Linked DNA regions of Caenorhabditis elegans. The protein of the gene in region 1 purifies or fractionates together with the protein of each later gene. This does not show direct contact. Each region holds a gene or a part of one and is shown in the gene's direction. Other genes may lie near its edges.

Region 1 (4,117 bases):
TTTTTCAGGCACAATGCAGGCGTAGGTAGCCTTGAAGACAGACAGGCAACAGTTTTTTTTCGTTTTCCAATTCATTTTTTAAATTTAAAATCTAACTTTAGGCCGTTCCAACTCTTCCTCTGGATCCATCTGGTCTCTGGGATCTACTGCTCCATCTCGTCGAGCACCACCACCATCTCTAGTTGAAATTTTGAGTCGCGGAGCATCTTCTCGATCTACGTTGAACTCGCGGGAAATCAGAAGAGTCTGAAAATTGGAAAATTGAATATTTTTAAGTGCTCCTGGAATTTTCCTACTCCTTGCTCTCTGATGAGCAACTCAAATGACATTGTTTCCCGATTAATCGACTCCAAATATCGACTTTCTTCGGTTGATTCGGTGTATTGAAGCCAGTATACATGAAGGGATCTGTTGGGATTTGTGGAACGGTAGATCTGGAATTTTTATAATTTTTCAAATTAAAAATACCGAGCTGTATTCTAAGATGAAATTCTTGCAGAAAATCGGATTTTTTCCAATTTTCCATTTGAGAAAAATAAAAAAAAAAAACTTATTTGAATTCTCCAAAAAATACGAAATTTAGCGATTTTTGACAGTAACCGGTCTCGACGCGACAGAATAAATTGGAATGAAAAATTGTGTGCGCCTTTAAGAAGTACAGTAATCGCTTTGTTGCTTTTTTTCGTTTAAAAAAAATCAGAAAAAATTATAAATGAAATAAGGAAAAACGGAAAAAAACCCGGTTTTTTTTCAGTTTTTTCCTCTAAAAATCACTAATTTGTCCTAAAAATAATCAAAAAATCACAAAAGTTTACACAAAATGAGGAACAACGAGAAAAAATCGATAAAAAATTCACAACAACAAAATTTTGAAACTACAGTACTCTTTAAAGGCGCACACCACTTTTAGTTAATTTTTTTTTCGATCGTGTCGAGACCTTTTTCTTTGAAAATCGGCAGAATTGTTAATCTATTTAATTCTCTAAGAATTCGATAGAATTTTTAAAATTAATTTTCAACAACGAAAAAAAATTTTAACGCAAAAAATGAAGACAAAAATAATCAAATTTTGACCTCTATCTGCCTCAACGTTTGCAGCGACATTGTGTAGAGCACAATGGCGCGAGGTTTCTTCGTTTCCAGAAGTTTCAACAAAGTATATCGTTCGCGTTCTCTCGTCGTGCTCACCACCAGTTCGGCCTAAAATATTTCTTTTTTTTTTCTCAATTTTTTTGTGGTATAAACTTCAAGATCTCCAATATTTTTCGTGATTTCCTCAATCTCTTCCATCTCCTCTTTAACCTCCCATTCTGTGGTTTCTTGTGATGTAGAAGCCTGGAAAAAATTGTTTATATTTCTGTATTCTCTACCGTATGTGCTCTGCGTGCTCTCTAAGTGAAGGTGGAGCCAGGAATTTTGGACTTTTGGGCGGAGCAAGCCGATGGCTCTTGCTCTCTGAGCAGCAGCAGCAGCATTAGTGCATTCATTTGCGCCGGCGCCGTCGTGCACTTTTTTCTGTTTCTCTCAGTCTCTTGGTCTCTCTGTGACTCTCTCCTCACGTCTTCTTTCTTTTATTTTTGCTGCGTCTTCCTCTTTTCCTCTTAAGAGCTCTTAATTTCTTTCATTTTTGCAGGTAATAAAAGGACTCTGCTCCCCACACGCGATTGCACAATGAGCTCGGCCCAAGTTAATGGAATCTCGAAGAGATTGATCGTCGAATCGCCGAATGTGAAGCTGGAGGACGGAGTGCTCGAAAGTCGGTTCACCTATCGCAAGAACCACTTTGAGCATCGTGCCGATGGGCTCCACGTGACGCCGAAGGAGCACGACTACTCGTTCAAGACGGTACTCAAGCCACGCAAGACTGGGCTCTTGTTGGTGGGACTCGGCGGCAACAACGGCTCGACCGCAGTCGGATCCATCTTCGCCAACCAGTACGCGATGACGTGGCGGACCAAGGAGGGACACAGTCAGGCAAATTATTTTGGGTTAGTGGTTTATCGATTTTTATAGTCTTAGGCTTAAACAGTAATATTAGTGAGAATGTGGGAGAAAACTACGAAAAAATGCCCAAAGTACGAGAAAAATTGGCTTGAAGCCTATTTTCAGCCTGTATGTAGGCTTTTTCTGGAGGCTTCAGTTCGATTTTTTTTGTAGTTTCCTCTCATATTCTCTCGTGAAATTCGAAACTTTAAATTCAAAATTTTCAGGTCCGTGACCCAAACTGCGACTGTTCACTTGGGCTACGACTCTGCCACCCAGAATCAGATCTTCGTGCCATTCAAGGACATCGTGCCGATTCTCTCGCCGAACGACTTGATCATCAGCGGTTGGGACATCAGCGACTCGAACCTGTACGAGGCTATGGGGCGTGCTAAGGTTTTCGAACCTGAGCTTCAGGAGAAGCTCCGCCCATTCATGGAGCCCATCGTACCGCTGCCGTCGATCTACTATCCGGACTTTATCGCTTCGAATCAGGGAGATCGTGCGAATAATGTGATCCCAGGAGACAACAAGTTGGAGCATTTGGAGCACATTCGAGCTGATATTCGCAAGTTCAAGCAGGAGCACGAGCTGGAATGTGTGATCGTGTTGTGGACGGCCAACACGGAGCGATACACGGATGTTCGCCAGGGGCTCAACGCCACCGCCGACGAGATTATGGAGTCGATTCGTGTGAATGAGGACGAGGTGTCGCCGTCGAACATCTTTGCGGTGGCATCGATTCTTGAAGGTGCTCACTACATCAATGGATCGCCGCAGAATACGCTCGTGCCAGGGCTCATCGAGCTCGCCGAGCGTCACAAAGTCTTCGTGGGAGGTGATGATTTCAAGTCGGGACAGACGAAGTTCAAATCGGCGTTCGTGGACTTCCTGGTGAGCAGTGGTATGAAGCCCGAATCGATCGTCTCGTACAACCATCTCGGAAACAATGACGGAAAGAACTTGAGCGAGGCGAGACAATTCCGCTCGAAGGAGATCTCGAAATCATCGGTCGTCGATGATATGGTCAAATCGAATCAGATCCTCTTCCCAGATGCCAAGAATCCGGATCACTGCGTTGTGATCAAGTATGTACCATATGTTGCTGATTCGAAGAGAGCCATGGACGAATATATCTGCAGGTTGGTTTTTCATATAAATTTTCCTTGAAAAAATTCAATTTTTCCAGTATCTTCATGGGCGGAAAGCAGACTTTCGTGGTTCACAACACGTGCGAGGACTCTTTGCTCGCCTCGCCTCTCATCTACGACCTGGCGATTCTCACGGAGCTCGCGAGCCGTGTCTCCTACAAAGTCGACGACGAGTACAAGCCATTCCATTCGGTGCTCTCGATCCTTTCGCTGCTCCTGAAGGCTCCAGTTGTGCCACCGGGCACGCCGATCAGCAATGCCTTCATGCGACAATTCTCGACGCTCACGAAGCTGGTGACCGCGTTGGCAGGATTCCCATCGGACACTGATATGCAAATCGAATTCTTCACCCAACTTCCGGCGGCAAAATCGAAATCTCAGTGATGATGATGATAGACGCGAATTTATTTTCAATTTTCAAAACTAACCCTTTTTTCTCTTTTCTTCTCTGTTTTGTCTTGTTGAATGAATCAGTTTTATGTTATTTGCCTATTTTTTCTTACCTCATTTCCAGATTTTCGACGCTTATACTGTAGAATTCCGAACTGTATCAAATTGGTCTGAACACGATGATCACTGGAGAATCCGCTGAGCTCTTCCGCATGTTTTCGCCGCTTTTGAGCAGCTCGAGCCGTAGTTTTTTGAGTTTTTTGAACATTTGCAATCACTTCACTTTTCGATTCGCCATCTACTGAGCTTCTCATAAGTTGAGAAATCGTATCAGGATCCCATAAAGGCTCATCTTCAGGCATTTCCTGTGTGCTTTTGTATCCCAATTGTCTCCACGTCATCCACTTCATTTTATTGATTCCATAACGAACTACGTCGGTGACCTGGCGGGAGAGATCCTCGGAGCTGGTAATGACAAGAACCGATGGTGCTGAAAATTTCAGGTTGAAGAGAGGTGTTTTCTGCTTGAAAATGGCGAGAAAAACCGGAAAAAAATCGAGTGAAAATGAAAAAATCCACTTAAAAACGAGCTT
Region 2 (5,604 bases), on another chromosome or scaffold:
AAAAATCTAGAAAACGTTATTTTATCGAATTTTCCGTCATTTTCGGCATTTTTTTCCAATAAGTTTATACAATTTTATCAGGGAGATTCTGCTGTGTTTTTTCTGAATTTATTTTAACGAAAAGGAAATGTCTTCGAATTGTGATACTATCGTCTAAAAACCTCGAATTCTAATTTTTTTATAGTTTTTAAACAAAATTTAATCTTTTTTAGAAGATTATATCACATCTAATTTAGAAAAATCAGCTGCAATCAAAATTTTAAATTGGTTTTCCGTTGTTACTCTGAAGAAATTCAAATTTTCAGGCGATTTTTGCTCAAATATTGTCCTCACCTTCCACTCTTTTCTACGCTTATCCATTTCGGCTTCAGCCTCTTCTCTCATTTCCGGTGCCATATCACTGGTTCCAATGATGTGTCTTGTCAAGAATTTTACCATTCCGAATCCCTTCAGACGATTCTTCTTGAAGATCGACTCAAGTGTGCTATCACAGATAATGTATTGTCCGTTTTTTGGATCCTTCAGATTATTTTCCTTAATATAATCCCAGAGAGCCTTCACCACATCGCAACGCTTCATCCACTGATCTTTGGTGACTTGTTGAAGCTCTGTGCTGATATAACAGAGCTTTGTCATTGGTCCAAAGACTCCAGACATATCTGCATTTGGATCCTTCACCTTCTTCTTCTTATTATTCGCAAATCTACCTCCTTCCGAGGTATTTCTGATCTGTTTCAGAGCGTCCGAAGCAGCAGCTCTTCTTGTAGATTTGATGCTTGATGCCATATCTGGTGGAATCCTTGTAGTAGTTTTCTTTCCTCTCTTCTTCCCGTCCATAACAGCATCTTCAACACCGCTATCCGAGTCGGAATCCTCTTTCACCTCTTTTTTAGCTTTTACTGGCAGCTCTTCTTTCTTGACTTTTTCTGTTTTCTCCTTCTTTTCCTCCCCTTCTTCATGATCACTATCACTGTCAGTTCCACCATCATCTGAACTATCTGAGCCATTTTCATCATTTCTTTTCTTAATTTCTTCGATAACCATCTTCTTAAGCTGCGATTTATAAGAGTCAAAGTTGATATTAAAACGATTCTGTAAAGTTTTTTGATAAATAGTTGCGGATTCCCACGCTTTGAACTCACATTCATATGCCTTACGATATCCGATGGAGTTAATTCGTCGAAACCTGGCTTGCGAACCAACAATGCGATTTCCTCCTCAGCAGCCTGAAAATTTACATGATTTTCTTTAAAATTGTGCAATAGATTACCTCCTTGTCCATGGGGAACGAAGAAATAGGCTCCTCAGTTGTCATTTTGACCTGGCTTGATTTTACCCGACAGCGATCTGAAAAAACCAAAAAAATCAATAACTTATCGTCTAATTGAATTTTAATTGGCGGACACGGTTTATGGGGTAATGTTGTATGATGAATAGGTTCAGATGGTAGTTGAACATGTATTTATTCAACTATAACTTGAAAATCTTTTAAAAAAATCGGGAAACAATTCGAATTCTTCGTGAAATTTTAAAAGGCCCGCCTCCCGAAACCGCGTTGACAAGAAAATAAAAGAGACGACTACGGTGAAAATTGTTATGTGCACGGTGTTTGCGGACTTGCATACCGTATCCTTTCCATATATTTCCATGTTGTTTTGATTGTACTTTTTGTAAATTTTTGTTGCGAAATTACACTTTCCTCTTTCCTCTCGTTTCTTCTCATAATTTCCCCCAAATTACCATTTATTCTAGATGTCAGCAGTTGAAAGTCCCGTTATTGTGACAGAGCCCGGTTCGTTGAAGCCGCAGGGCCTCACTCAGACAGCTACAGGCGGAAAGTTTGGTGCTGCCGCTACGTAAGTCATAATTTCACAAATTTCTCTACTAATCTTATGTTTTTCAGAGTCAAAACCACTCCAACAAAAGCAAAACCATATGTGAAGCCGCAAAATGCAAATAATTTGCAAAACAACTTCAATCCGCGGAAAATCTTCACCGAATACATATCAAAGGAGGAAACAGATGCCGGAATCGAAGACGGTTCAATGTTCAAAGGTGTCTTGCGGATAAATCCAAAAAACTATCAAGAATGTTTTTTGGATCATCCAAAAGGCACAAATCATCCAGATGTTCTTGTTTTGGGCCAAGATCGGAATCGTGCGATGCAAGGAGATGTGGTGGCTGTAAAGATCAAGCCAAAAGAGGATTGGCTTGTACGGTTTAATCATTTGAAAAAAACAACTAGAACTGATTTCATCCAAATAATACCTATTTTTCCACGAATCTTTTAGAGCTTTGTGGATATTCTTCCTGTAGATTACATAAATTTATTTTTAATTCTAGGAATTTAAAAATGAGAAAAAAGAAAACATCTAAAATCCATTAAAGCCTGCTAATTTCGAATAGTTATATGCAAATTATGTTCACAAAATCTGAATTCTTCGAGGAAAAAACTATTTTTCCAGGTAAACTATGTGGAATATGTGAAATGGTGGGCGGAGCACAAGAAAGGAGATCGAAATAGCGGCAAAACGGACAACAATAGCCCAAATAAAACAGAAAAACGATGTCTGCGCAACGAAATTCAAGACAATGGAGTTACAAGTGACGAAGTTCCCGATTCTTGTCTCATCACCATCGGAGCCATTGTTCATATCCTTGAGAAGAAACATTTCCGTGTAGCCGCCGGCAAGCTCCAGCTAATGCCAAACAGCGCGAATCCCAACGTGTTGTTCGTTGCTACAGATTCTCGTGTCCCTCGAATTCTCATTCCAAAATCCGATGTGGATAAGGAGTTCTTCTCACGCCCAAAGGACTTTGAGAGATTCCTTTACACAGCTAAGATCACTGATTGGCGCGCTGAATCTGTTTATGCCGATGGAAGACTCGTGAAGCTTCTTGGCATGTCCGGAGAAATCGATACAGAAACTGAAAGAATCGTCTACGAGCACCAAATCGATCACAGAGAGTTCAGCGACGAATGCCTCGAATCACTTCCAATCACTACAGCCGAAAACTGGAAGGTCCCTGATGCCGAGTTCGAGTACCGAAGAGATTTCCGAAGTGACATCGTTTTTACAATCGATCCAAAAACCGCTAGAGATCTCGACGATGCTCTTCACGCGAAACACATCGATGATTGTGACGGAAAAGGAACTCCAGGCCTTGAGATTGGAGTTCATATTGCTGATGTTACATTCTTCCTGAAAGAAGGTACAGAGCTTGACAAATGGGCATCCGAACGTGGAAATAGTACTTATCTATCACAAACTGTAATTCCAATGCTTCCAAGAATCCTCTGTGAGCAGCTGTGCTCTTTGAACCCTGGAGTCGATCGCCTCTCCTTCTCAACTGTATTCAAAATGAGCTACGAAGCCGAGCTGTATGATGTTTGGTTTGGAAGATCTGTTATCAGATCCCGTGTTAAACTTGCCTACGAACATGCACAGGATTTCATCGAGAACCCGGAGAAGGACTTCACATGCGACGAGCTTCCCGATATTTCAGATGGAAATACGCCTTTTGAGATCAAGGAAAAGACTCTGATGTTGCACAGAATCGCGCAAGTTCTTCGACAAAAGCGTGAAGATAGTGGAGCATTGCGGATCGAGCTTCCCAGATTGAAATTTGCATTGGATGAGGATAAGAAGCCACAAGGAGTTTCTATATACGAGGTTAATAAACAGTTTTTTGTTAAAGAAAATGTGTTTTTATATTAATTTTTGTTTTCAAACAGCAATTTTTTGGTCACATTTTTTCGGTTCTAGCAACAAAAAAGTAATCCATAAATTTAGATTTTCAAAAATCGGAAATTTAAAAAGAATTGCCAATTTTATAAAATACAAATGTTAAAATTTCAGATCAAAGATTCGAATAAACTCGTAGAAGAGTTCATGCTGCTCGCCAATATGGAAGTGGCTAAAAAGATCGCTGAAAATTTCCCAGAACACGCCCTTCTTCGTAATCACCCGCCACCAAAAGAGAAAATGATAAAGGACGTGGCTGAGCAATGTGCAAGAATTGGATTTCCATTGGACGGAAGAACGTCTGGATTACTTTCCACGTCACTTCGCAAGTATCAAGGAAAATCCCGTTTGGATATGTGCATTCGACAAGTAATTTCCTCATTGACAATTAAGCCAATGCAACAGGCGAAATATTTTTGCACTTTCGAGATGCCTCTTTCATTTTATCATCATTTTGCTCTCAACGTGGATCATTATACACATTTCACATCGCCAATTCGTCGGTATCCAGATGTGATTGTTCATCGACAACTTGCTGCTGCTCTTGGTTATAATGAAAGATCTGAAAGAGTTCCTGAAGAGATACAGGAGATTGTAAGTTTTCAAACACTCAAGAAATTTTTGCATTTAAATTTTCAGTGCACCCGCTGCAATGACACAAAGCTCGCATCGAAGGAAGCTTCGGATGAGTCTGCGATGCTCTATTTTGGAGTTTTCATCCATCAAACCGGTCCGATGAAGTGCCAAGCTGTTGTTCTTGGTGTAATGGATCTCTCATTCGACGTCCTCATCGTTGAGTATGGAGTTGTGAAGAGAGTTTATGTGGATGTGAGTATAGATTTCAAACAATGACGAAAAAAAAATCCGAATAATTTCAGAAAATGAAGCGAGACTTCAACAAATCGACCGAGAAGCTTACCATTTACTGGCCAGCAGATCCGAATGCGGAATCCGGAAACCGTGAAGAGTTTTCGAGCTCAATTCAAATGTGCAACGTGGTTTACGTGATTCTCGTGCCGTACAAAAGCATTGAAGTCAGCGCGACAATTGTTCGTCCGAGTCTCGAGCAACGTAATATTCTCAAGTCGACTCTCAAGGACATGAAAGAAACGGGCTCAACAATTCTTCAGTAGTCATTCGGATTCAGTGATCTCCTCCAGCAAAAGCTTTTTTTCCTTTTTCAATCCTTTTTTCCCCTTTTTCTATCCTTTTTTTCCCTTTTTCTATCCTTTTTTTTCTCCTTTATCCTTTTTTTCTTTAAATTCCATTTTCCCGTTGTATTTTTTAAAACGCGTGTCCATTCCTCGTCCCGGTTACTTTTGGTGTCGAATGAAAATGCATTATTCAATATTACTAGCGAAACTTTTATTTGACAAGTTTTGGGTGTTAACTGTCACGTAACTCGTTAAGAAAATTAGAAACTAGAGAAATATAGGACAATTGAGAAGTGCAGTTAAAATAATATGTATTGTTATCTATTCGATATCCATCATTGTCTGTCCCCAGATCATATTCGACTCGCATTGGTAGCTGACCGGTTTGGCGGTGAAGTTGAAGTACTGACGGTTGACCTTCAGATTGGAGCACATTTCGAGGAAAAGCTCCATGTTCGTGTCAGAGACGCAGCCATGAACGTTGAGATAAACGAGCGAAGGCTTACTGTTGAAGTGTCTGGAAATGTTTTGTTTAAATAAATTAAACTAATTTTCAAATAAACTCACACAACCATATTAGGGTCCAATCCGTAGCATCGATTGAGAGAAATTGTCGTAAGTCTCGGGAATTTGTTCAGAATCACTGCGAGGCCTGGATCACTAATCTCGACGTTATCCGACAAGTCGAGGTCGGTGACGTAGTT
Region 3 (7,523 bases), on another chromosome or scaffold:
ATTAATGTCACACTGACAATGTTTAAATTAGCCCGACTTTCATTCAAAAGCTCACAAATTGATTTTATTGAACTGTCTAAATATTTCTGGTTTCCATAAACTGCTTTATGTTCATAATACAATTCTCTTTTCGTTGATCTTTTGTCATTTTCGAGCAAATCATAAACTTGGTGAAGACAGTGCAAATCTCTATCCAATTTTCCTTTCCTCTTTGCTGTATAACGAAGGCAAAAATGTGATTTACTAGTCGATCTGAAAAAAAAAACAAAATTACTCAAACATTTTCAACAGGAACTTATTACATTCTCAAAGTCAACGATTTCTCTTTGTTATCCATTTGCCTTTTAATATCTGCAAGAGCGAATTCAATTTTTCTCATAGCTTGTTCCTTCGGTGGTATTACTTCATCGTCAAGAAAACTGTCATCAGAATCATCAGAATCCGAATAAATAGTGGATTGTTGAGATTCTACCTGAAAATTGCAAAATTAGATTTGAATCAGCAATATTAAGCTTACAGATCCGGGCTCATGATCGATATTTGGGTTGAAAGAATATTCATACATGCTTTAAACTAATTAGTAGAACAAAAATACAGATAAAATGGAATAAAACTTTGATAAAACTTGGACGCAAGCTAATAAGGCTCCAGCTGCAAGATACAAAAAGTCAATAATCGAAAGGACCATACGTGAAAATAAAGCACGGGTCCCGCAGCGAATCGGAGTAGTACTGTAATTTTCGTCAGATTTTTAATACTCGGCGCCGACGAGTCTCAATGTTCGATCTTCTTTTCTATATTCTTAAATTGACATTTTTCTTCAAAAAATATTTTAAAATGCATTTCTTAAATATAACTCGGTTTTTCTCAATCCCTGCCGAAAAACCACAGCTTAAATGCAATTTTGAAGCGAATGACTGCACCATTCATTTCGTCGCAGTCGAAGAAGATTTTTATAGAATATAAAATTTATGTATAGTATTCATTTTTTTCTTAAACTAGCATTAAATGTTGTTGCGCTGAAATATTTTTGCTATATTAAATTTCCTTCAAATACTTTATTCAAATAGTCATAATGAAGCTCTGATATGGTCTATATCTACCGTAGTCTTCTTGTATTTTCCACTATTCCTTCTTTTCTTGTCTCTTTTCCCATTCATTTGTCCTCTCCGCCGCAATGGCCCGTTTCCAATGCAGGCAGACATGCAGAGTGTCTGCGTCTCTCCATTTCCAATAGTGTTTCTCCTCACTTTGCCTCTCTGGCCAATCGACGCTCGGCGCGTCCACTGCATACATTCAAACCTTCTTCTTCCCCAGCTGCTTAGTCTAACACACAATTTAGACCATTTTTCATGGATTTTCTCGGTTTTCAGACGAATTTCACGATATCAAGCGATACTAGTTATCAGTATACACTTATACGTCGTTGGAAAACGAAAAAACCTCTCAGGATTCATGAAAAGTCGATTCGTACACGTCACTACTTATCGATTTTTTCACAATCTTTAGAAATCGTCAATCTTTTAGTTTTTTCTTAGCTTTTCTTATCTCACTAGCTCACAAAGGGCCCCCGAAGAGTTCTCCGTGTTTTATATGCGCTAGAAATTTTGAATGCGCGCCGAAAGTTGTGTCCTGCAATACACTACATCTCTCTTTCACTTGCACGCTATTTCTCGGTTCCATCAGTCCTACTCTTTTTGCACTAGGATGGATGGAAAGTCTATATATTGTCCTCGGTTTTATTATTCACGCAGGCTTCTTCTGAAATTCGCTTATATACTATTACCGCAATACTTTTTGTTTATCTTGAATGTTCAATTGAATCTAAAATTCTGAATTAATAATTGTTTCAGACTATCAATTTGAAAGAAGATAGTGTATCAAATTGCTGGAATTTTGAAGAATGAGCGGAAGGCCGGCGTTTGAGCAGTTTACTGCTCAACCACCGCAACCAGCCGGTGAAGTTGTTGCTCAGCAAGCTGGTGATGGAGCTCAAGGCCAAGAGCTGACAATTTCCAAACTGGAAAATGCGATAACTTCAATGGAGGAACAAGGTCTTCAGAATGACCATCGACACGCCAAAGCAGTTCTTTTGAAGCAAAAACTCCAATCTGGTCTCCCAGACGCCGTTCCAGGACAGGAAAATGGCGGGAATCAACAAATTACCCCAGCACAACTCAATCAACTGAGGGCTCAAGTGTCAGCCTATCGTCTTTTGGCTCGAAATGAACAAGTACCGGCCAACTTGATTGCGGATGCTGTCATGCTCCGACCAAAAGTTACAACTTTGTTGCCTGAACCTTATGAATATCCAGGAGAGGCAGAGAATGGAGAAAAGTTGCCGTATGATTTGATGAAGGTAGGTAAAATGGATCGAATGAAACTATACAGTCTACTTTTTTACAGATTTTCAATCTCCATCAAATACGCTGTAATCGTCCAACAACAATTTCTGTTCCATCAGGAATTGATCCTGTTGGCATGCTCAAGCAAAGAGAAAATATGATTCAAAACAGAATCGGGCTACGCATGAAGCTACTCAATAACTTACCCGCCGACATTCCAGATCACATGAAATTGAAAGCAGAAATCGAATTGCGTGCTTTACGTCTTGTCAATCTCCAAACTCAGGTAATTTCTGGATTCGAAGAGTATTTTAACCAATAAGCTGTTTTTAGGTGCGCAGTGAAGTGATGGCTTGTCTCAAAAGAGACACAACTCTCGAAACTGCACTCAATCCATATGCGTATCGACGCACAAAGCGGCAATCTTTACGCGAAGCTCGTGTTACCGAAAAGCTTGAGAAGCAACAAAAGATGGAGCAAGAAAGAAAGAGAAGGCAGAAGCATACTGATTTGATGCAAGCTATCATTCAGCATGGAAAGGAATTCAAGGAGTATCATAGGTGAGATTGTATTTAGAAAGTTCTCCTACTAATTAAATTATTTTCAGAAACAATCTTCTGAAAATGGCAAAGTCTCGCAAGGCAGTCATGACATATCATCAAAACAATGAACGTGAACGCAAGAAGGACGAGATTCGAAATGAAAAACTTCGTATGCAAAAACTGATGCAAGAAGATGAAGAAGGATATCGTGCTCTTCTTGATGAGAAGAAAGATCAACGTCTTGTGTATCTTCTTCAACAAACCGATGAGTACGTCGACTCTCTGTGCTCACTTGTTCGTCAACATCAAAATACCGAAAAGAAAAAGAAGAAGGAAGATAAGAAAATTGAAAAAGGAAATCAAATGGATGAGGAAGCCAGGGTTCACGTTCGGGAGAGAAGCACTGGAAAAGCGCTTACTGGAGATCAAGCTCCAAAGACTGAAGAAATTGAGTTTTGGCTTGAAACTCATCCAGAATATGAGATAGTTCCACGTGATCAGCTTAGTGATGACGAAGAAGAGGAAGAGGAAGAGGCTCCAGTGGAACCAGAAGAAGAGAAGGATGATCAGTACGCTGGAATGGATGAAGAGACAAAAGCTAAGATGATCCTCGAGAAGGCACGTAACGAAGAGGATGAATATGATCAGAAAACGAAAAAGCAAATGGCTGATTACTATGCAACTGCTCACAAAATCAAAGAAAAGGTTGTCAAGCAACACACAACGATGGGTGGTGGTGATCCGAATCTTCTGCTGAAACCGTATCAGATTAAGGGATTGGAATGGATGGTCTCCTTATACAACAACAATCTGAACGGTATCCTCGCCGACGAAATGGGTCTAGGAAAAACTATTCAGGTAGGAATTTGGGAAATGAGGAAATATTAATCAATTTTTAATTTTCAGACAATCTCGTTGGTGACGTATTTGATGGAAGTCAAACAAAACAATGGACCATATCTTGTCATCGTACCGCTCTCCACGTTGTCCAATTGGCAGAACGAATTTGCTAAATGGGCTCCATCTGTAACCACTATCATCTATAAAGGAACTAAAGATGCTCGTCGTCGTGTTGAAGGACAAATCAGAAAAGGAGCGTTCAACGTTTTGATGACAACATATGAATATGTGATCAAAGAGAAAGCACTGCTTGGTAAAATCCGTTGGAAGTATATGATAATCGACGAAGGACATCGTTTGAAGAATCACAATTGTAAATTGACATTGATGTTGAACGGATTCTTCCATGCTCAGCATCGTTTACTTCTTACTGGTACTCCACTTCAGAACAAACTTCCTGAGCTATGGGCTCTGCTGAACTTCTTACTTCCATCGATCTTCTCATCTTGTGGAACTTTCGAACAATGGTTCAATGCTCCATTTGCGACTACAGGAGAGAAAGTAGAACTGAATCAAGAAGAGACGATGCTCATCATCAGAAGACTGCACAAGGTTCTTCGTCCATTCTTGCTGAGACGTCTCAAAAAGGAAGTAGAATCACAGCTTCCTGACAAGACCGAGTATGTCATCAAGTGTGACCAGTCTGCTTTGCAAAAGGTTATTTATCGTCATATGCAGAAAGGATTGCTTCTCGACGCTAAAATGTCATCTGGAGCACGTTCGTTGATGAACACTGTCGTGCATCTTCGCAAGCTTTGCAATCACCCGTTCCTTTTCCCTAATATTGAAGATTCCTGCCGTGCATACTGGAAGGTCAACGAAGTCAATGGAACCGATCTAATGCGTGTTGCTGGAAAGTTGGAACTTCTCGATCGTATTCTACCGAAACTAAAGGCAACAGGTCATCGAATTCTGATGTTCTTCCAGATGACGTCTATGATGAACATTTTCGAAGACTTTTTGAATTTCCGAAGATACACGTACCTCCGTTTAGACGGTTCAACTAAACCAGACGAGCGTGGAGATCTGCTGACACAGTTTAATGCTCCTAACAGTGATTTGTTCCTTTTCATGCTTTCTACAAGAGCTGGAGGTCTTGGACTCAATTTGCAAACTGCTGATACTGTTATTATCTTTGATTCGGATTGGAATCCTCATCAGGATATGCAGGCTCAAGATCGTGCACATCGTATCGGACAAAAGAAAGAAGTTCGAGTTCTTCGTCTCATCACAGCTAACTCTGTTGAAGAGAAAATTCTTGCCGCTGCTCGCTACAAGTTGAATGTCGACGAGAAAGTTATTCAAGCAGGAAAGTTCGATCAACGTTCAACTGGAGCTGAAAGAAAGCAAATGCTCGAACAAATTATTCAAGCAGACGGAGAAGAGGAAGAAGAAGAGGAAGTTCCAGATGATGAAACTGTGAATCAGATGGTTGCTCGCTCAGAGGAAGAATTTAATATCTTCCAATCGATGGATATTGATCGTCGTCGTGAAGAAGCTAATCAACTTCACCGTAAACCCCGTCTTCTAGAAGAACATGAAATTCCAGACGATATTCTCAAATTGTCATTCGATTATGAGGAAATGGAACGAGCCAGAGAGGAAGGTCGTGAAGTTGTTGATCAAACTCCTAATCAGAGAAGACGCAGAAGAGAGGTAAGGAATATATAAGAGAATTTACAATATTAATTCATTTTCAGGTCGACTACTCTTCCGATCTTTTGTCCGATGAACAGTTCATGAAACAAGTTGAGGAAGTTGAGGATGAAAATAATCAAGCTGTGGCTGAACGTAAAAAGCAAAGAAAACGTAAAATGGCTGGATTGGACGAGAATGATGATTCTATGGATGACGTTGTTCTACAACACAAGAAGAAGAAGACGGATCCAGAATTGGCAGAAAAAATCAATGAAATGCTTGATGTTATTCTAGAATATAAAAATGAGGATGGAGAACTCATCGCGGATGTATTCCAGACACTTCCAACTCGTAAAGAACTGCCGGACTATTATCAAGTGATTTCCAAACCAATGGATTTCGATCGAATCAACAAAAAGATCGAAACAGGACGTTATACGGTTATGGAAGAATTGAATGATGATATGAATTTGCTTGTGAACAATGCTCAAACATACAACGAAGAAGGCAGTGAGATTTATGTTAGCTCTGAAACAATCGGAAAATTGTGGAAGGAACAATACGATAAGGTATGATTGATTTTTGAAATTTCGAAGTTTACATTACTTTTTCAGTTTATGAATCCACCGAAGCCAGTAGAAGAACCAGTCAAGAAGAAAGAACCTTCAACCCCATCAACTTCATCTTCTCGTCCCTCAACCAGTGGCACTCCAAGTGTGTCAGATCTTCAGCGGACACAACAGGCAACTGCTCAGCAAATGTTAATGCTTATGACACATATGCAATCACTTCCACCCGCACAGGCTCAGCAGTTTCAACAGGCATTGATGACACAGACCGGTGGAAATCAAGCCCTAATGCTTCAATATATGCAGTCGGCTATGCTAGCTCAACGTGCACAAGCTTCAACTAAAGTAACCCCCAAAAAGGACGAGAAAAAAGAAACTTCGTCTTCTGTAAAGACCGAGGAAGCTAAGAAAGATGATGAACCATCAACATCGTCTGCAAGTGCACCACCACCGAAAAAGAAGAAGGAATCGGAAGATAGTGAAGACCCAATGGAAGAAGATGAAGAAGAGGAGATCATTGGACAAAAGAAGGTTACTTGAACTTTTTTAATGTCTTTAAGTCTAATATTTAATTTCCAGGAACCAGCATCAAGCCGTCGAAAGTCTCGTCCAACTCGCCGCTTCTCGAACGAGGATGAGGAAGAAGAAGACGACGAGTGATCAAAACTAGTCTGCTCCAAATATTTTCATGTCCCCATAAACATTTATTCTCTGTTTGTGTATTCTTCATGTTCTATGATTTCTGATTTTTTGAGCTGTCACCATAAATATGTCCCACCTCGTTCCCCCATTCTTATCTCTCCTGCTTCACAGTTATCTCTCATCGCTTTTTTACTGTTTATCTCTACTTCTCTTTTCTGTCGCAAGCTACACGTTTGCAGGAAAAAATCCCTGAAACAAAAGCATTAAGCATTGTATTTAACCCATATTCCACTTTTAATCCATACTATTCGTCAACTATTTTAAAGAAAAATTTAATTTTATAAACATTTCGAGAGAAATATGCTTTTGTTATCAAGAATTATTTTCGAATTTCGTTGCGATTTCTTTTATTAAATACTTTCCGTCTTAGTTCGAGATTTTGAATGTTTAATCAAACACACTTATGATTTAGGTAAACGGGAACAAATGTCGGCACTCAGAAGCACTAAGGTGAGTTTAAGAGCTTGAAAAGGTTGAATACTTGCTCCAAAATTGAAAGTGTTATCTGAAAACCCTACGTTCTATCTTCTCAGGGTCTCGTTGCTCTCGTCACTGGCGGAGCGTCTGGACTGGGAAAGGGTGCTGCCGAAGTTTTGGCAAAGGCTGGTGCACAGGTCGCTATTCTTGATCTTCCACAGTCAAAAGGAGCCGATGTTGCGAAGGAGATCGGAGGAATCTTTACACCAGCTTCGGTAACAATGATTTCATGCTACATTTGTAAAGAGAAACTTCAAGTAAAATATTACCCAGACGCCAATTTTGCGATCTCTGTCTCGACACGCCCTTTTTTGTAAAATAGAAACGAGTGTGTGCCTTTAAAGAGTACT
Region 4 (7,609 bases), on another chromosome or scaffold:
CGGGCCGCCTTAAAGCCTCAATTCTACGTGGCGAAGTTCTCAACAAAGTTTTGTAAAATTTACGACAACTAAAAATTTTTTCAGCACATTCTGATTTATTATTTTAGTCACCGACTTTAATGGGTGGCCTTTAATGATTTTGAAGTTAATTTGAAAATTTTTAAAATCAATAAAGATGAACATGGACATGGATTTTTCACAAAACTAACAATTAAGAGGCAACAAAAACAAACATAATGATAGTTGTTAGAAAAATGGAAATTGAACAAAAATTTCAAAAACAAAGAAAGCAAGTCAACAAGTGTCTAACGAAGAAGTAAACTTTTCTCATCACTTGGACGCCGAGTGTGCTCAAAACCATTGTGCTCCGAAATATGACACTTTTCAACTCGTCCCATCGTTCAAAGTTATTATTCCCTCTCATTTTTTTTCCCGCGCTCTCGTTGGCTCTCGTATCATGAGCTCTCGTTGACAAGTAACTTTTAAGTTTCAAAATTTATCTATAGTTGTTAAAGTATAATGTTTTCCTAGAAGCTGTAAGCTTGGCAGGTGACTTTCCCTGCGGGAATTGCGAAAAAAATAGAGACTGAATAAAACGCATATACTGTTTCATATTGTCTGGCACGTGCCTTGTGGCAGGAGGTATACCAATACACTGCCCCGTTCTGATCCGATTACTTTGACAAAAGTCGCCGAGTCTGATACTCACAAACAGTAGCGTCAAGTGAGGAGGGCTCACTTTACCAGAATTTATTATGAATGTTTCTGGTATCATCACATTGTTTCAACTTTCCACGCGCTGTTACATTGCGTTTTGAATCGATTTTTTGGTATTCTGCCAAATATAGCTTCAGTGCGTTGCACTCGAGCATCTGAACATATTTGCTTTTTGTTTGGCGAGAGGAAGGAAAAAGCACTGAAAAGTGCTTAAAAATCGTTTTGAAATAAGGATTAGTAACTGGATTAGAGCTAGAGCATTAAGTGATATTAGGCAATTTTTGTTATTTCTAAAAATATGGAACTATGCGGGTGGAATTTTTTGTTCACATGAACGTGTCAAAAAAATTGTTAATGTTCATACCCTCATTTACATTTCCACTTTTATGGCATTTTGGAAAAAGATGGCTATATTCGCCCTGTTAGTTTTAGAAAACCTTTTCCACTAGATATTGAAATTTCGAAGTGAAGTTTTCGCTTTCATCAAACATTCTTCGAGAGCTAGCTTCAATTGTTCTCCTTCATTTTTTCTATTGCTTTATGTTGCATTGAATAGCTAAAAAAAAATTCAAAAAGCTATCCCTTCAAAAAAAGAAAATTCGCTGCTTCTCGACGTGAAAAACAATGAAAAAAGTGTTCGGTGAGTACTTGTTCTATTTACACAGCAAACCTTTTTAGCAGCCGAGCTGTTAGAAAAACCAAAAAACGCCACCAAAATATGCTTATTCACATTTTCCGTCATCACCATCGCCGCCGATTTCTGCGCATGACAAAGTGGCTTTTCTCTCTTTTTTTGGATTTCAAGGTCTAACATTGCCGTTCTAATGCCCGTTTTTTAGGTTACATTTCAAAATAACCGACTATTTTCAGAAATGTTTTCTCATCAAGATCGAGACCGCGATAGGAAGGAGGACGGTGGTGGAGACGGTACTGAGATGAAATCCAAGAGTCGGAGTCAGCCAAGTGGACTTAATCGCGTGAAAAATCTTTCAAGAAAGCTATCGGCAAAGTCAAGGTTAGTTTTTGAGGGGTTTTCGGGGGGTCAAGGGAAGTCAAAAACCGCAATTCTAAAATTTTGCGATGGGTAGCCACAGAAGGGATGTTCTTTTCATTTGAAAATGTGAAAAAGATTAATTTTTTTTAAAACCACACTGATGAGTTTAGTGAAAAAATTAAACATGCTTCTAGCGCCTCAGCTAATCAACTCAGATTTTCCGTACAAATTACTTTAGTATTACGAAATATTGAAAAATTCATCGGCCCTCAGCAAATTAGATTCCAATTCGGGAAAATACTGAATTTTCCCTGAATTCCGTGTTTTGTCTGTGTGAATTAAAGATTGTTCACATTTAAAATAACGTACCAAGGTTTTTTTTTGAAAACTTTCTAGATCACTAGTTTTTGAAAGACTAAATATTAATTTTCAGCAACTTTTTGTAAACGCCCATTACGATTAGCAAAACAGAAAAAGATAACAGCAAAAATGTTCAATGCAAAAACAAAAGAAAAGAGACTGGAGCCTTAATGCAAAACGAACAATGTGGGGGCCCTTCCCGAATAAGTGAGCCGCGCGGAACGCTGCCGCCCTCCACTAAACAACGCGCGGTACGATACTCCGTTCATCGGACCAACTTCCCCCCTCTTTACCTAGTTGGCAACATTTTCTTCGTATTCTCACGGATTCTCCTCATTCATTCCGCTTTCAAACCCAATTTCCGTGCATTTAGCATTGGAAAAACACGTGCCGCAACGTATCCGAAAATAGTGTGAGACGCAGACGGCTGGCGCCCCGCGTGAGGCGACCAAAAGGCTTTTCTTCTTTTTGTCCTCCGTTGAAAATCATGGTAAATTGAGTGATCTCGTTTGCGTATTTGTGTGTATGAGAGAGTGTGAGTGTGTGTGTGTGTGTGTGTGGACACGCCAAAGCTTGATGGAGTCACATGTATATCATGAAAAACACAAACAGATACCACACCAACGAATCTTGAACCTTGAGTTCTTCCGCCAGTGTTCATTTTTAACATCTCTTCATCGTTCTGCAAGGAGACCTGTCAAAATTTCCAACAAAAAAAAGAGTTTCCCATAAATTAGGAAAATTCTGATAGGTTCGGAAGTTTTCCGTGAAGTAACTGAATATATTTTCAATGATCACGAGAAGGCAATTGAATAAATGTTAGTTGGAAAATTTTTATTGAGCTTCTAGATTTTGTTGTCTAATATTTGAGCCTCAAACTTTTAATATAGGTTATTATTTTTTATTGCAGCCGACAATTTTTTGTGGCAATTTATATACAAAAGCATAAATATCTGAGATGCTTAGTTTCATAGAAATTCAGTTCAAGAGGCTTCACCGTATAATATAATATATTCTTGCTGAAACTACAGGAAAATTTAGTGGGAACTTGTGAAATTTGAAAGCTCCCAGATTCGATTTTGTCATTCTTTTATGCAATGCAAAAATTATTTTTAAAAAACTGTTTTCGACATTTTCTCATGATTTGTGAAAAAGTTTTTTTCTCAAATAGAAGTTAAGCTCATTTTTCTAAATAGTTTTTCTAAACCCTGGATTGTCTCAAATCCGCTGTAGAAAAGTTGAAGCGACTGACATCTTATGAGCTAAATTTTTCCTGAGTTTTTGAAATAGACTACATCTTGATAATTGAACATTACAGTTTGACAAAATTTATAAAAATATTGATCAGTTGGATTTTATTATTTTTCTGTTGTTTTGTTCTAGCTCCAGTAGGGTGGATATTTTTCAAAAATCTCAAATTTTTGTGCAACTTCTATTAGTACAAATATAAAAATATTTCAAACGTGCACTTTTTGAACATGGACATACGTTAAATTTCCAATATAAAGGGCAAACTTTCAGCTGAGTTAGGAGAATATGAGCAGCTGTTAATCACATAAATCTAACAAAAAAACCACATGTTCCAACTTAAAATTGATTTCAAAATTTTGTGGCCAAAATGAAACCCTACGATGTCAGCCGAGTTTACTTTTTCAAAGTGCAGTTAGAAAAATTGTCTCAATTTTTTATCAGTGGAAACGTTTTTGGTAGTCTCACTAATTTTAAAGTTTAACTCGTTTTAGTAGAAGTCATTTAAAAAATTCAAAAATTGCGGTGTAACAGTTCTTTTAATACTTTTTCAAATGCCATAAATCGTCTGTAATTAATTTTCTACCAACTTGACAATTTCAATTAGTAAAATCACAGTTTTAATGCATAACTTTTTGATGCTAGTCGTATCAAATTGTGATTATTGTTGTTATCTTCACCACTTATATTACGAGTGTATCAAATTTCGATGACACAATACGGCTATTATTCATTGAGCGCTTGTGTTTTCTCTATCGTCTCCACTGTCTGACCTTCGATGATGTTTTTCTACATGTTTTTTTGTTCTCTCAAAATAGATGTTTCAGTTCCTCCAACCTTTTGAAAATCTGTAATTGGTGTTGATTTTGGAACCTTTCCTATTGTCTCTTCTACCATTCATATCCGGCACATTTATGTCAAAACACTGACTGCACCTGCTGTTTTTGAAATTTAGTGTCTGGTGTCTGGGCGGCAGTCATAAGACCTGATGGGCATACGGTTTTCCTAGAGACTCCTACTGCAATGGTCATTCTGTGATAAGAAGTTGCTTTTTTGTTTATCCATTCAAAATTACCATCCAAAAACCACACCAGTTATCAATTTTTAAGTCTTTGAGACCCGTAAAATCAATCAATCATGTCCACATTGCACTTTTGCCTGTAGAAAAACGCGATTTTCGGTTTTCAATCTTATCTCATTTCTGGTTTTCGTTCCCATTTGACTACTTGTTGTCAATTTTTTAGGTTAGGTCTAAATAAATATTAAAGATTTTTTAAAAATTTAAATGAAAGTTCAATTTCTTCTTTCTATTTTTTTGTTCCTACCTACCAACGCTGTTTGCGCCGGAGGACGATAGACATAAGGAAACGAACACACGGGATGCCTTTCCCTTCTATTTTTCTCCTCTTTTTCTCTATCTCTCGCCATTGCTTTGTGCTGTATGGTCAACTCTCGTTGTCTTCGCTGTGCGTGTGTGTTTGTCTGTTGTTAGAAAACGAGGAAAATTGTGAGAAAGAGTGAGCGAGGAAGATCGAGAGAGAAGAGTGTGCGTGTGAGAGGTGTAGGGGTCGCGAGAGTGTGCGGGAGGTTGGCGGACCTTTTACCACATTTTCGGCCAAAGGAAAAAAGGCATCGATCTTTGTTGGTTGTAGTTCTAGACATTTTTTGTTTCTGCTATGTTCTCAAAACACCAAAACTTGTTCTTAGATTTCTGATCTTTGAAAAATACATGCTCTTTATACACTTGTTTTTCTCGTTGTTTTGCTATTTGCAGGAGGTTCCTCGTGACTGTATTTATTGATTTTTTAACTGAACAATTATTCTGAGGAACTTGTGAATTCGAGATTTTACTTACGATCATTTACCTACCAACAACGTACGTTTTCAGAAAGGAACGCAAGGACCGCGATAGCACAGACAACAGTTCGAAAATGTCGTCTCCAGGAGGAGAAACGTCGACGAAGCAGCAACAAGAGCTCAAAGCTCAAATCAAAATCGGACATTACATTCTCAAGGAGACACTCGGAGTTGGTACTTTTGGTAAAGTAAAAGGTAAGCTACAACACCTTAAAATTCAACCAAACCGGAAAGTTAGAAACTTTTTCATTTGCTGCAACTTCCTGGCAACACCATAAGCTGCCAAATTGTTGCAAAAATTTTGTCCCAATCTGCCAAATACTGACATATTTATCTTTCTTTTCTGTTCATCTAGTTTTCACATTTTCAGTTGGAATCCATGAGACAACTCAATACAAAGTGGCTGTCAAGATTCTGAACCGTCAGAAGATCAAGTCACTGGATGTCGTTGGAAAGATTCGCCGCGAAATCCAAAACCTCTCGCTCTTCCGCCATCCGCATATCATCCGCCTCTACCAAGTCATCAGTACACCTTCTGACATTTTCATGATTATGGAGCACGTTTCCGGCGGGGAGCTCTTTGACTACATTGTTAAGCACGGACGGCTGAAGACCGCAGAAGCTCGTCGCTTCTTTCAACAAATCATTTCCGGCGTTGACTACTGTCATCGTCATATGGTTGTCCATAGAGATTTGAAGCCAGAGAATTTGTTGCTCGATGAGCAGAACAATGTGAAGATTGCGGACTTTGGACTTTCAAATATTATGACGGATGGTGACTTCTTACGCACCAGCTGCGGATCGCCAAATTATGCTGCCCCTGAGGTTATTAGCGGAAAGTGAGTGATTATGGTGGTCTCCTGATCATGGTTCAATGTAAAATAAAAACCAAATTAGAACTGAATAACAAAACATGAAACATGTGTTCGCAAACACCAAGACGACATTTTGCACTAGTAGAAATCCAATTAAAGTAATTGAACAAGATTAGACACAACAACTTTGTTTTGCAGGTTGTACGCAGGTCCCGAAGTTGATGTATGGTCGTGTGGAGTCATTTTGTATGCACTTCTTTGTGGAACCCTGCCATTTGATGATGAGCACGTGCCAAGTCTTTTCAGAAAAATTAAATGTACGTTAGTGTGACATGAGAATCAAAACACAAAAATGGCAAAGGATTACGACAACATACCAATTTCATTTAGACATATGAAAGCGAAATGGGATTTGAAAATTGAAATATCCCTATTACAAAAGGCACTATTACTATGTTTTGGCGCACTGCCCGGGTGATAAATGTTTGAAATTTAAATTGGAATCATTAAAAATTATAACGTTCACGAAATATGTTTTTTAGCTGGCGTATTCCCAACTCCAGACTTTCTGGAGCGCCCAATTGTAAATCTGCTTCACCATATGCTCTGCGTAGACCCGATGAAGAGGGCCACCATCAAGGACGTCATGTAAGTGGTCTTCTAAAAAGAAAAAAAAAACAAACATCGTTGCTATGAGACGCCAAGGAAACAAGACAATAACTGCTTTATATTTTCAGTGCTCACGAGTGGTTCCAGAAGGATTTGCCGAACTACTTGTTCCCACCAATCAACGAGAGTGAGGCTTCCATTGTTGATATTGAGGCTGTCCGAGAGGTCACTGAGGTATTAATCGTGTTCGATAGGAGCAGAAGTTTCTAATCACAATGAAAAGTTTCAGCGCTATCATGTCGCCGAAGAGGAAGTCACCTCAGCATTGCTGGGAGATGATCCACATCACCATTTGTCGATTGCATATAACTTGATTGTTGATAACAAGAGAATTGCCGATGAGACTGCCAAGTTGTCAATTGAGGAGTTTTATCAAGTGACGCCGAATAAGGGACCTGGACCAGTTCATCGCCATCCAGAGCGCATTGCAGGTAGGAGAGGGTGCATAGAAAAACTCTTGGTGGCAAAGAATAATAAAACTTTTGCATCGAACATGAAATTCGTAAAACAATATCTAAATCTTCAATTTCAGCGTCAGTCAGCAGCAAGATCACACCAACTCTCGACAACACGGAAGCCAGTGGCGCGAACCGCAACAAACGTGCCAAGTGGCATCTGGGTATCCGATCCCAAAGTCGTCCGGAAGACATCATGTTCGAGGTGTTCCGTGCGATGAAGCAGCTGGACATGGAGTGGAAGGTGCTCAACCCATATCATGTGATTGTTCGTCGCAAGCCTGATGCACCCGCTGCCGACCCGCCAAAGATGTCGTTGCAGTTGTACCAAGTGGATCAGAGAAGTTACTTGTTGGATTTCAAGAGTTTGGCCGACGAGGAGTCTGGATGTAAGGGTTTTCTTTGTTTAGATTGAACTTTTTGAAAGTGGAACCTGTTTAAAATATTTAGTTAATCGTTCTAGAAAATACTAGAAAATACAAGTTAGTGCATTT

What was found.
Region 2: the proteins of inos-1 (region 1) and disl-2 fractionate together in Caenorhabditis elegans (co-fractionation; one large-scale study listed by BioGRID). This does not show direct contact.
Region 3: the proteins of inos-1 (region 1) and swsn-4 fractionate together in Caenorhabditis elegans (co-fractionation; one large-scale study listed by BioGRID). This does not show direct contact.
Region 4: the proteins of inos-1 (region 1) and aak-2 fractionate together in Caenorhabditis elegans (co-fractionation; one large-scale study listed by BioGRID). This does not show direct contact.

The regions. Positions count from the first base shown.
Region 1 is NC_003280.10:11,697,817-11,701,933, reverse strand, and holds inos-1 (Inositol-3-phosphate synthase), read left to right. Parts: upstream 1-1,633; 5' UTR 1,634-1,671; coding exon 1,672-1,988; intron 1,989-2,210; coding exon 2,211-3,125; intron 3,126-3,172; coding exon 3,173-3,518; 3' UTR 3,519-3,617; downstream 3,618-4,117. Other genes in the region: xpf-1 (DNA repair endonuclease XPF), read right to left, coding at 97-246, 297-434, 1,075-1,200, 1,246-1,335, 3,638-4,014.
Region 2 is NC_003281.10:5,441,415-5,447,018, forward strand, and holds disl-2 (DIS3-like exonuclease 2), read left to right. Parts: upstream 1-1,752; coding exon 1,753-1,856; intron 1,857-1,903; coding exon 1,904-2,213; intron 2,214-2,465; coding exon 2,466-3,674; intron 3,675-3,860; coding exon 3,861-4,340; intron 4,341-4,385; coding exon 4,386-4,574; intron 4,575-4,624; coding exon 4,625-4,879; 3' UTR 4,880-5,092; downstream 5,093-5,604. Other genes in the region: T24G10.2 (DM2 domain-containing protein), read right to left, coding at 334-1,092, 1,143-1,226, 1,271-1,315; skpt-1 (F-box domain-containing protein), read right to left, coding at 5,222-5,417, 5,468-5,604. UniProt on the Caenorhabditis elegans protein: 3'-5'-exoribonuclease that specifically recognizes RNAs polyuridylated at their 3' end and mediates their degradation.
Region 3 is NC_003282.8:11,124,171-11,131,693, forward strand, and holds swsn-4 (SWI/SNF chromatin remodeling complex core catalytic subunit swsn-4), read left to right. Parts: upstream 1-1,853; 5' UTR 1,854-1,903; coding exon 1,904-2,359; intron 2,360-2,406; coding exon 2,407-2,631; intron 2,632-2,678; coding exon 2,679-2,905; intron 2,906-2,952; coding exon 2,953-3,745; intron 3,746-3,793; coding exon 3,794-5,443; intron 5,444-5,487; coding exon 5,488-5,994; intron 5,995-6,039; coding exon 6,040-6,525; intron 6,526-6,573; coding exon 6,574-6,654; 3' UTR 6,655-6,992; downstream 6,993-7,523. Other genes in the region: Meiotic recombination protein spo-11, read right to left, coding at 18-252, 303-472, 518-565; ard-1 (3-hydroxyacyl-CoA dehydrogenase type-2), read left to right, coding at 7,123-7,146, 7,230-7,388.
Region 4 is NC_003284.9:16,794,500-16,802,108, forward strand, and holds the start of aak-2 (5'-AMP-activated protein kinase catalytic subunit alpha-2), read left to right. Parts: upstream 1-1,589; coding exon 1,590-1,732; intron 1,733-2,615; exon of another isoform or gene 2,616-2,675; intron 2,676-5,207; coding exon 5,208-5,371; intron 5,372-5,546; coding exon 5,547-6,015; intron 6,016-6,189; coding exon 6,190-6,308; intron 6,309-6,533; coding exon 6,534-6,639; intron 6,640-6,728; coding exon 6,729-6,834; intron 6,835-6,883; coding exon 6,884-7,091; intron 7,092-7,192; coding exon 7,193-7,504; intron 7,505-7,609. UniProt on the Caenorhabditis elegans protein: Acts as a sensor that couples lifespan to information about energy levels and insulin-like signals. Role in motility and response to oxidative stress. Involved in the establishment of germline stem cell (GSC) quiescence during dauer development.